Linked DNA regions of Drosophila melanogaster. The protein of the gene in region 1 interacts with the protein of each later gene in a pairwise test. Each region holds a gene or a part of one and is shown on either strand. Other genes may lie near its edges.

Region 1 (7,488 bases):
AGTCATTTATTTTAGGCTGCACACACGTTATGTTTGCCTGACAAATTGCATTTGCTGAAATTAAAACAAAATGCACTGGGACACTGCGTTATGGCATGCTGCTAATTAGTCACCAACAGCGGCTTTCAGCGAATGTTGGCCAATCGCGAGAATGGCTTTCATCCACTGTCTAGACTCCAGACCAAAAAGCGAATTTGTGCGCCAGATAAACATCTTAATGGCCAGGGATTATGATGCAGTGCCCGCTTTTTACTGACAGTAATTAGCCAGACGCCCATTGAACCCTCTTCTTGATAATCCCCACTTGATCCACACTCTTTCAAAAAAAAAAAATGTATTCATTAAATGGGAAAAAAATATTTACTGCAAGAGAAATGTTATTAATGGATATTGAAAAACTGACATTAGATAACAGTTTCTATTGGACTGCTAACAAAGTCGGTCAGCTGTTTAAAAAACTGAGATCGCTTTTATATTTAAATTGTATAATAAAACCATTAGGGTATCAACCTTAATATGTATTTATATATCACTGTACTCCAAATACTATTTACGCTTAACTATGTAGATTCATTTTATTTTTATCAAAAGTCCATTCTTTTTTTATTAAACTCCACTTTATAAATGAAACAACGGTCGAATTTTTGAACTGAGTACATAACTACATAGTTTATTCGATTACGTGCACTATAACTATAATTCGAACTATAGCTTTGGGCTATATTACGGTTATTGGTAAGGACAACCATATAATTGACCCCAAACGCGGAATATTTGTCTAAATTAAAACACAAACAAGCTGGAGTGGCGCTTGCTGCTCGTATCACAGTTGTGTGTGTGTGTAATGTACGTAGGTGGCACTGGAATGGACTACCTCGCTTATCGAGTACAGATAGAGGATATGCTGACCCCCTTTAAAAGGCGGCCCGCTCTTCAGTGTCGCCTCCATTCACCGTCGCCCCCTTTTCGTGCGGTTTGTGGCTGCCTTTGCGTCTGGCACGCCAATTGAATTTGGTCCTGAGACCCTTGAACGGGCTTGAGCTCTTGAGCACTTTCACTTTCGCCTTGCGCACTTTGCCACTCGACTCGTCACCGCTCACGCCCCCCGACCCCGCGGCCCCTGTTGTGCTGCCTCCTGCCACGCCCCCCGTCACACCTCCTGGTGGGCGGGTGATGCGCGTAAGTTTAAGGCGTGACCGCGAGATGGCCAAGTCATCTGTGAGCTCGTCAATGGAGCACATCGTGGGCTGGCGCTGCAGTGGCTCCCCGGGAAACTGCAAATCCTCCTCCAAGAGGGAATGGGCATCGCCCACCGATGACAGCTGCGATATTTGCGTCTGGAGCATGCGACGCGGATTATCGAAGAGGTCTTGCCGGCTGCGATTCTGACCCTGCATCTGGACACTGTCCAAGGACACGCGGTTCAGGCGCACCGACTGACCCGTTGTCGTTCCATTGCCACTGCCATTGGCAGAGCCATTTAGCCCAGTGGTGGTCGTCGCCATGGAAGTCATTGTGGTGCGAACGCTGTCCTGCAGGAGGAAATCAAGGAATGGAGGGATAATCAGAAAGGGAAAGTGCAGTCGCCAGACACGAAAATAAGTAACGCAATAAACATCTTATAGTGGTTTTAAAAAGTCTCGTGATTCAAATTTCATTTTGAGAAACAGGACATACACTATATTAATCCTTTTCATTTTCCTCTTAAATAATGCCACATAATAGAATTTAAGTGCATATATCGAATGATAATTATGTAATTTTTCTCAGTGCACTCACCGTTGTGTGCAGCCGCAGTGAACCCGTTTGATTACGTCGAAGAGCGCTGTAAGTATGAGGAAGCCCCCTTCCCTGATTTTTGCCACCAAGTCCAAAGTGTCTAGCCAAAGTTACCTAAAATGGGATTAAATACGTTTTTTAATTCTAGCTTGAAGTTTAAAATCACTAAATTGACCGTTAAAGAATCGATTAATAAACTTGTAACCTGAAGCTTATTTTCAATTTCCTAACGCAAGCTATAGAAATGAATATCCGGCAGCGAAACTCACCTTAAAAGCCTCACGAAACTTGTGGCTCATGATGTTGTAGAGCAGCGGGTTGATGCAAGTTGAGAGGAAGTAGAGAACACCGGACGTATAGTCGAGGATGCTGAACACGTCGTTGAACCACTGGGACTCAATGCCCGAGGTGGATCCATAGACCGCCATCAGCCGCTGGGCGTGAAAGGGGGCCCAGCAGATGAAGAAGGCCACGGCCACCGCCACTGGGAAAGTTGGATAAGGGCGCCTGATGCAACCATGAGTTATTTCGGATATTTCATATCCTGCTTACCCAGCATCCGGATGACTCGCGTTTGGGCGCTTATCCCCCGGTTTACATCGTAACATCGCCTGGGAAGCGCCTGCAGGAGTCGGCTCCGTTTCAACTTCACCCCGATGAGGACATAGAGCACGCAGATGGCCGTCATGGGTCCGCCAAAGAACAGGAAGCCCGACACAGCAAACACATGGGCAAAAAAGTCGTTTTTCATCTACAGCAGGCATTTCACAAAAATAATATATATGTGTATTCGCATGCGATACGATATGGTTTTGGCTTACAGCCACAGCCGGAAGGCAATGGCTGTAAATTTGATTGCCTAAACTGAGTCGAACCTCGTAAGGGATTGTCGCTGTTTTTATCATGCTCTTAAATTTTTTGTAATTCACAAAGGCTCTCTATTCGAACTTTCTATACGGAAAACACATAATGAATCAAAGGATCAAAGGACCGGTTCTACGAATCAATTAACCAGGTAACTCATAACTGGGGGACATACGATTAAGGGTCTCGCATCAATCATACGCACCGTGCACGATGTTCCCATGCCCTGCATCACCACGGAGAACTGAATGGCTTGGGGCAGGGCCAGCAAAAGGGCAGCTATCCAGATGGCAAATATGAACTTTACGGCCCGTGACAACTTGGACATCGTGTGCTGCCTGTATCGAAAGCAGAACCAATTAAGCAAGTTTGGGGCAAAATGGAAATGGGCAGTGGAAGGAATGAAGGTTCCCTTACCTGAACGGATGACAAATGGCAATATATCGTTCGACTGTGAACGCGGTAATGGTTAGAACTGTCGCATTGGCCGCCGTTTCCGAGAGAACGCTCTCCAATATGCAGATGCTGTCACTGAAAGGATAATTATCCGGGTGCCAGAGGTTATAGAGGTCCTGCGGCATTCCTAAGAACATAAATAGCAAAATAGCAAAATATATAGTGTGATTATAAATATTTAATAATAGCTGAAATTATAGCCTATAGCCTCAAAATGCAAATCGATTTGAGCATCTGCCGAATATCTCACTCTACATTTTCTTGTTTATTTACAAATTTTAATTTAATATGCCTCAGTTCCATTTATTGTTTGCACTACTGAACTGAATTAAATTATAATTCAAAAACCATGAACATTTTAGTTTTGCACTCACCTGAGCATAACAAAATCATGTCGGATATAGCGAGGTTAAACAGATAAAAGTTGGTGGCCGTGTGCATAAAGTTGTTCCGCGAAATGACAATGCATGTGATGAGGTTGCCCAAAACGCCGGCGATAAATATGAGGGCGTAGCCCACGCTTAGGGTGGCCAGCAGTGAAAGTGGTGTCATCGGGGTCACCGTGGGCAAAAGCTCCTCCGGCTCCAGGCCCTGGAGAAGGCTGGTCAGGTTGTCCGCGGAGATGTTCAGCACTTGTGTCAGATTTAAGAGAAATTTCTCATTGTGAAACAGTTGTAGATCGGTTGCCAGGACACCGGAACTGTTAGTGGGCAGCATTTTGACTGCCATAGGGTGTGTGTCTTTGTGTGTGTGTATACGCACTATTATTTTCGAATTTCTTTGGAAATTTCAGACTTCTGCGTATGTATTCTCAATCGAAGCTTTCGCTTGCAAATAATGTTTTCATAACGCCCCTTACGGGGGCTCATCAATTTCGACTTAGGCCAGAGCCACTCCACTTGCAATCTGTTGTCATGAGTGTGGGATTAAATTATGTGTACGGATGTGTGTGATAAGGTGGACCCTATGTGCTATTTAAATAAAACTATGTTTTTCAAAATTTGTTAAAATTTAAATAAAATAATACAAGACAAATAACGCATTTTAACGAATTTAGTAATAAAACAAATTCAAACATTAAGGCTTTTTACTCCAGATTTCTAAATTACCATAAATTATACATATACACAATTTGGTTGGTAAGCTGTGCGCTTTGTTTAGCTTGCTAAGGTCCACCTTAGAGAGCCCGTCTTAAAGCGTGTTTGTGTCCTGTGTGTTTACCTGGCATCCTGGGAAACTGGCAGGCGGCAGTCAGGCGTGTCCTAGGCGAAAGACCAGGATCAGGGCGAGTGGAAGCTGAAAATTAATTTGAATTGCTAAGTGGCATTTAGTCAAAATATTTGTGTACACTGGATGAATTTAAGGATGTTGCTACAAGGCTGAGAAGGACAGGCCTGCCGATCCGTCTCCCACCCAACACCAGGTGGCAAACGAATGAAACGAGCCAGAAGCTCAAGGTCAGGTGGTGGATAAGACGGATAAGGAGACGACGATGGCAAATGGACACCGGGTGACTTAATAACATTAACATAGTTTCATTCCATTCAGATGATGAGTGTTTTCGGCTGCTGCTGTTCTGCTCTGTTCTGTTCACATTCTGGCTATACTTTTCGTTATTGTTGCTGCTGACCGCTGTTGACCGTTTTTGGACGTTTTCATTATCATTATCATAAAAAAGTTTCTACAATATATGCACAACCAAAAGAATGCTGTCGAATTAGGTTTTATTATATTGTATATTCGATAAAACTGGTTTTCATTTATTCATTTTTCTGTTTTCGTTTCGTTGTCCGATGATTCCGATGATCGACCGTGTGGCATCCCACCGAAAAAAATTATGCCCATGCACCCGCCCATGTCCATAAAGTGTGAGTTTTGTATTTGGTTTACTATTATTTTCCATATTTTGCGCTTGGCAAGCCGGTTCGCATTGAGGCATAATATGTTATTATAGATTCTGCACCATTAGTGTTTCGGGTCAATGGATTTCACTGGCAATCTGTAGATCTTGAGGCCCCCGATAATGCCTTATTTATTTTCAACTTGTTTACAACTGTTTCGGTGCTCCTGTTCGGAACTTTTCATTCCGCCTAATGGCAATTAATTATATATCTCGACACTCGGCTGGCTATCGTTTGTGCATTTAAAACACGTTTAATTTAAATTTATCAAACGATGCCTGCCACATTTTTCAGAATGCATTTATTTTTTATGGCTTTGAACTGTTTTGATTTTGTCACTCTGCCTTCGCATTTGCGAGCATTGCACTCTCTGTGCTCCCCCCATTCTTTCACTCACTTTCTCTGAGATGTGATTTCGTTTTGTTTTTAAGGTGTTTTATTGCAATATAGCTAATCAGTTTTTTACCATGTGCTAAATGTTGATTAATGACCGCAACGTGTTGGGCTTAATTTGATATACACGCTCACAGAATTAATGGCTTTAACTATTTGCGTATGGCACTGATTAATTCTGGTACGTAAAATGATTCTCCGAATCGTAAAATTATGACTGAGGGGCACGCGTAAATTGATGGTTTTCCCGATATCTCGTTTTATTTCGTCGTCAAATGATCCGAAAACGTAAGAACCGAAAGAGCGACGGCGGCGGCTACAGCAACGGGCCGCAGCATCCGACTGACTGGGTTTTTGGCCAAAATATCTTGGCAACGAAGTCCGTTCGGGCCACGGTCGTTGCCGTTAACAGCGACGCAACAGCGACGTCGGCAGCGAACAACTACCGGTTGCTTTTCGGTTCTCTGCGGCGGCGCGCTGCTGATTTTCGGCCTTATATGAAGGGTCCCCCGGCAAAAGGGTAATAAAAATGCAAATAATTCTGGAGTGCCATGCAGTTTATCTTATTTAGTGGCGTATTAATTTGCCCATGGCGGCAAATTGTTTGATTATTATGTTAACAGAGCCAAAGGACAATGCAATGCCGACCTTGTCGCCCACTTAAAACCCAACTAAACCGACAACCACAATCAATTTAAGTCAAGGCAGCTCGGAAAAGGTGAAGTGGTCGCTCAAAGAATAAGAACAGAAATTTATTATACTGAACCTAATTTTCCGGATTAGAAACGCTCGGTGCCCTTAAGTGAGAAAACGATTTAACGTGGTATTTCTGTAAAATTGAGACTATATACAAATATAACTTTGCTATTTAAAAACTTGGCATATGCATACTATGCATATGTTCCTGCATGAATGCATTTTATTTACATTGCAGCGCACCATAATTGGATGTAACTGCCACTATATGGTGCGATTTTCTCTGCAAAACTTTTATTACTGTAGCGAAAACATCCGAATTGCTTAAAATTAATTTGTGCAACCACTTTGTACGCCGTTGAGCCCCAGACATCAAGTCACGAAATTGGACATGATGCCGTGGTTTTATGATCAGTCAAAGGGAGATTTTATTAGTGCCCCGGGGCCTAACTTTTATGGCTATGTGCGGGAAAATCTATCAAAGCTTTGCGGCTCATAAAATGTGTATTTTCCTATCCCAGCGTTGGTGCGATATATATTAAGAGCAAACAAATATAGCGAATGTATATGAGACGCTTGGAAAATCGAATCGCGAGGCAAACAAATCAAATCCATTGCATGCATTCAATTTCTCAATTTTTATGTAAATAATTCGAAACAATTTTTTGGCACTTAATCAAAACAAAGTCCTAAACAAACAATGAATACTGGTGGTTGTTGGATATAAAATCTAGGGTCGGAGTTGGCATTTCTTTGTCAGGGACCCTACAACATTTTCTACATCGAGTATCTCATGAATTCAAAGGAAGGGAAAACACAGAGCACGTGCTGCAAAGGCATTCCCAGTCAAAACTTTGGCTGCCAATTGTTGACGAAAGCCGAGAAAAATGGCCAAGAAAGTGGAAAATGGGGGAGATTTTCGTTTGCCTTGCTCTTTATGAACATTGGGCATGACATCAGATTCGGGGCGTTTTGTTTGGCATTTTGAAGTTTTGCCTTTTGCCCAGGACTCTGTCATCAGGCGACGGCGGCATCCTCGTCAGCAGTTTGGTTGAATTTTTGTGCAAGTTTCCAATTCATTTAGTTTTATTGCACGCAGAGAGGGCAGGCCAAAAGTCATTTGCAGTTCGACCAACCCGTTGCCGCGCACTGCTTTCCCTAACTTTCACCTAAGTACAGGCAATATAATATAAGAGTTGGGGCTTATATAAATAAAATATGAAACTTGTCTGCCAGGACAAGATAGTGGATATGAGCCCAGACATTTAAAACACTTTGAATTGGCTGATTTTACATTTCTAAAAAGGAAAAAAGGATGGCACAGCAAATATAAAGTTATCTGTCAGTAGAATACAACAACGGTTTTTTTTTTTTTAATTATTATAGTTCTCTTTTTCTT
Region 2 (4,844 bases), on another chromosome or scaffold:
AGGGGCTGGACACCAAGATCCACGAGACGGTGGACACGATCAACCAGATGAAGACGAACAGGGAGTTCTTCCTAAGCTTCGCCAAGGATCCACAAATGTTTATTCATCGCTGGATCATCAGTGAGACGAGGGATTTGAAGGTTAGTTCTTTTTTTTTCTTTTTTGCCTCATACCGTTGTCTAAACCTTTCGTCCTTTCAGCTGATGACCGATGTAGCTGGCAATCCGGAGGAGGAGCGTCGGGCGGAGTTCTATTACCAGCCATGGACGCACGAGGCCGTTTCGCGCTACTTCTTCACCAAGGTCAACCAGAAGCGGGCCGAATTGGAGCAGGCGCTGGGCATACGCAACGGCTAGGTGAATGATGAGCTGATCATCTCCACCAGCCAATTCGTGGAGTCCACCGTCAAGAGACCTCCATAAACCGTGCGCACGGCAAACTCTTTTTCCTTCGCCAGTTTAGTTTAAGCTTAAAATATTTCCTTTTTTTCCGACAAGCCGAACTCCATCCCGTTCCAAAACGAAAATCCCCTTTGCAGTTGTCCCAAATACCCACATCCAGCACAAATATTGGACTTAACTGTAAGCTAATAAAATGGCATACAAATATAAAACTGTCTATAAAATTTGATTCGGTTCACTTTTAGAAACACTAAAGTTTAATTTTTATTACGAGTGATTTCAGTTGACTTTATATATATTTAGCCTTTTGATACTTTTGGGTTCCCTTTAAATTTTAGAAAATGCATTTGTTGGTTAATTGAGATTTTAGAATCACTTGTAGCCTTACGATCCTATACGATTTCATGTTAACTGATTGTTTCTAAAATACGTTTTGATCTACATTTGGATATATTATTGTAGGGTTTTAGCTGACCAATCTAACAATGTGAAAGGCCAGCGTTTGAGTCATCTCACAATATTTCATAATTTATACTTTAAAATTATGTGTTTTAGTAAGTTCCATAGTTCTGCAATCCTTTGATGCTGTTGATTTAAAATTGTATAAAACGCATTTTCAGTTGATGCTTCTTAACTTAACGATTTACGCACAAGCTTTAAACGGTTTAGACTACAACACAGGATTAATATCACTAGTAAACTAAAGACGGACTCGGATTACTACGTCTCGGGCTAGACCTCAAGCTATAGGCGGAATGTGCAACCTTTACTCCTTTTGCTGATATAGGATCAATTTCGCTTCTTGCGATTGGCAGCAATGGAAGCGGATGAGCTGTTGCCCGTATCCGGGGTCTCGCTAATGGACAGACCCGTGTCCAGCCGACTCTTGTCAACCGGATACAGCCAGCGCTGATACAGATAGATAATAAACACAATATCATCGCGCAGGCAGGCCACCCGATGGGCCGTGGGCATGGTGATGATGAAGGCGAAGAAGTCGTCGATGAAGGTATTAAATGCTTTATACATAAATGCGCGCCACGGCAATGCGGCCACAGACTTCAGCTTGTAGTTTACAAACAGTTGCGGCAACATGAACAGGAAACCGAAGGCGTAAACTCCGTTCACCAGTGAGTTAAGTGTCCATGAGTACCAGGAGCGGTGTGGTTGGTAGAGGAGCGAATAGACCGCTCCGCATATACAAAGCGGATACAGCAGATAGCTCAGATATCGCATGCCCTGTCTGTCAAACTGATCAGTCTTCTGCTCCTCCGCCAGCTGACCTGACTTCACGCCAGCTTGGTCACCATTCCGCCGGTCAACTTGCTCCAGCTTGCGACGAACCAGGCCACTGAAGCTAAGCTCCAGACGGAAGATTTTCTTGCACTTCCACAGCTCAATGAGCGTGCCCAGGCCAACTGGCACAAGTACCAGATACGACGTATTCTCATCTAGCAGATAAAAAAAGATCACGATCTGCGAAAACGCTCGCCACATTGTGGTGCGGCTTGATAGCCCCTCGTACGACTGCTTTTTGCGCCAAAAGGCCACGTCGTTCTTAAAGCTTAAAAAGTCGAAGAGCATCTGCGGGAAAAGGGAAACATAAATTAGTTATAGGACTGGAGCATATGACGTATGTTGCAATTTTTCAATCTCTACTCACATGGATGCTGGACACAAAGATGGTGCCACACAAAAGGTATACATTGGTGTCCGAAAAGATGCCTTTCACCTCGTCAATATCCTTGGTAGCAAATCCAATGGTGAGCAGCGCCTGGGTGGCGTGTTCCATGAGCAGCATTAGACGGAGCTTGCCCACGCCCACGGGCTTGTAGTGGAAGCTGAATGTGAATTCGGTGGTATTGCGGGTGACGGGCACTAGATCCTTTAGCCGCGTATTAAATGTATCAGTCTGCAGGATGGGCAAGATCTGTTGATTGCGATTGACACGTATCAAGGGGGCCATTTCAGGTGGGACATCCGCTTGCGAAACGGAATAGAGATCGTTGAGCAGGGTGACGTAAACATTCGATCGGATGTGGGTGCTGGGACGTCCAGTGGTGGAGGCTTTCTTCTTTTCTTTCTCCTGGACAGCGGCTGCTGCACCTTTCTCGGAATCTCCAAGCAGTTTAAAGGCCTCCGCCCGCGGCACTATGTAATCCGTGAGACTCATCGTATGGACAACGGTGGGCCCATCTCTGCGCAGGCTACGCCATTCCAGTGGCTCACCCTCCAAGGCCAAGACCACATGAAGATACAGGGAGCCATTCCGGCGCGTCCTCAGCGGCACATCCACTTCGAAGTCGTGCTCAAAGTTTTGATCATAGTCGAACCTCTTGGCCTTGTACAGATCCCGCACCTCGGTGGCAATGGGACTTCTGCTGAGGGAGGAAAACAATGCCAGTTGCAGGCGTGGCCTGTCCGCCAGGAATGATGTGTAGCACGGCACACCGCTGCATTGCAGCGTAGTGAAGAGCTGCGACATCTGGTAGATGGAGTGGCCGATGTACGCCAGAAATGCAACGCCTAGAAGCGTGGAGATCGAGGGCAGGGCCATGTCCTCCTCTTACGGTTTTCTCGTTGGTGCGTTGGCCGGCGTTTTATTGGTATTGGCACTAGAGCCGGCAAAACATTAAAAGAAGCTATCGATAGTTCCGGCAGTATCGATGATCTAAAGCTTCAAAAACTATCGGTTTTTATTGTCCCTAACGGTCGTTCCTAGCACGTGTTTCCAAACTATCATTCCCATCCCAACGTGATACATGTCAAAAAATTAAATTTAACTAAAAGCAATGGATTCCAGGATGTGCCGTGTCTGTTTGAGGGAGATGGAGAACATGCTATGCATCTTCGAAACGATGCCGCTACCCGGCGTTTCCCTAGCGACCATGATTTCCGATTGGTGCGGCTTCCCGGTTCTACCGAAGGATCCTTTTCCCAAGACCATTTGCCAGTCTTGTGCGCTGGATGCGCAGACTGCTTACGGGATGGACAGCGTGCAGGTGATTGAGCAGGATGAGATGGTGGTCAGTGAGATGAATTATGAGGAAGAAGGATCGAATGACTCCGATGTTGAACTGATTGAGCCAGTCGATGGCAGCCAGGAGATGGAGACAATTGACTTGACAATCGATTCACCGGGGGACAACGTGGAGAATATGTGCCCCAACTCAAACTCCAACGGGAATGGCAATGTGAGCCAGAGCAGCGCCCAGAAGGATACCAAGAAGAAAATGCTGAAGAAGACACATAAATGTAACATTTGCGGGAAGTATTTCATGTTACCTGCGCACCTTAAGTGTCACATGTGGGTCCATGCGCGTGAAAAACCTTACAAATGCTTACAATGCTCCCAGTCCTACGCACAAATCCGCGGTCTTAGGCGCCATGAGCGCGTACATAGTTCGAGACCTGAATTACGATCCTACAAGTGTTCCCGATGCCCCAAGATCTTCAACAGAAACTCTGCCCTTAAGAACCACGAGACCATGCACCATAATTAATGCGATCCTACAAGTGTCCCCGATGCCCCAAGATCTTCAACAGAAACTCTGCCCTTAAGAACCACAAGACCATGCACCATAATTAATGCGATCCTACAAGTGTCCCCGATGCCCCAAGATCTTCAACAGAAACTCTGCCCTTAAGAACCACAAGACCATGCACCATAATTAATGCGATCCTACAAGTGTCCCCGATGCCCCAAGATCTTCAACAGAAACTCAGCCCTTAAGAACCACGAGACCATGCACCATAATTAATGCGATCCTACAAGTGTCCCCGATGCCCCAAGATCTTCAACAGAAACTCTGCCCTTAAGAACCACAAGACCATGCACCATAATTAATGCGATCCTACAAGTGTCCCCGATGCCCCAAGATCTTCAACAGAAACTCTGCCCTTAAGAACCACAAGACCATGCACCATAATTAATGCGATCCTACAAGTGTCCCCGATGCCCCAAGATCTTCAACAGAAACTCTGCCCTTAAGAACCACAAGACCATGCACACCATAATTAATGCCAAACCAAGAAGAACGACCATGATGTTAAAAGACTAATGCAACGTGTTACCAAAGTATAGGGAACTTCGAAAAGCGAACACCTCCAAAGAACCTCACAACGATTATACTCATTTTTTGTCAATCCGATATATGATCGTTGGAATAAATACTAAACGCTGGGACACTGTATTTGGTAGCAGTTTTTATTTAAAGGTTTATGTATAACAATATACAGCATATAGTATATACAACATGATTTCATAAAATTAGGTACTAGAGTTTTATATAATTATAACTATGAAGTACTATGTATAACTCTCTCTCTTCGTCACGCGCGAAATTTCCAAACCTTTGGAATAAATTAAAGGACTAAAATGTACACATCATGAAACAAAAATATGATAAAAATAGGTTGAATTGATTTGCACGCTTCAAGTTG

Evidence for each region.
Region 2: the proteins of PK2-R2 (region 1) and CG4332 interact in a two-hybrid assay, tested with the Drosophila melanogaster proteins (one large-scale study listed by BioGRID).

What each region holds. Positions count from the first base shown.
Region 1 is NT_033777.3:13,328,424-13,335,911, forward strand, and holds PK2-R2 (pyrokinin 2 receptor 2), read right to left. Parts: upstream 5,744-7,488; 5' UTR 5,467-5,743; intron 4,416-5,466; 5' UTR 4,321-4,415; exon of another isoform or gene 4,006-4,320; 5' UTR 3,829-4,005; coding exon 3,474-3,828; intron 3,227-3,473; coding exon 3,061-3,226; intron 2,982-3,060; coding exon 2,849-2,981; intron 2,531-2,848; coding exon 2,332-2,530; intron 2,264-2,331; coding exon 2,049-2,263; intron 1,894-2,048; coding exon 1,780-1,893; intron 1,533-1,779; coding exon 915-1,532; 3' UTR 647-914; downstream 1-646.
Region 2 is NC_004354.4:13,153,210-13,158,053, reverse strand, and holds CG4332 (uncharacterized protein), read right to left. Parts: upstream 3,017-4,844; 5' UTR 2,959-3,016; coding exon 2,065-2,958; intron 1,986-2,064; coding exon 1,191-1,985; 3' UTR 682-1,190; downstream 1-681. Other genes in the region: Bap60 (brahma associated protein 60kD), read left to right, coding at 1-140, 201-356; CG4318 (uncharacterized protein), read left to right, coding at 3,194-3,904.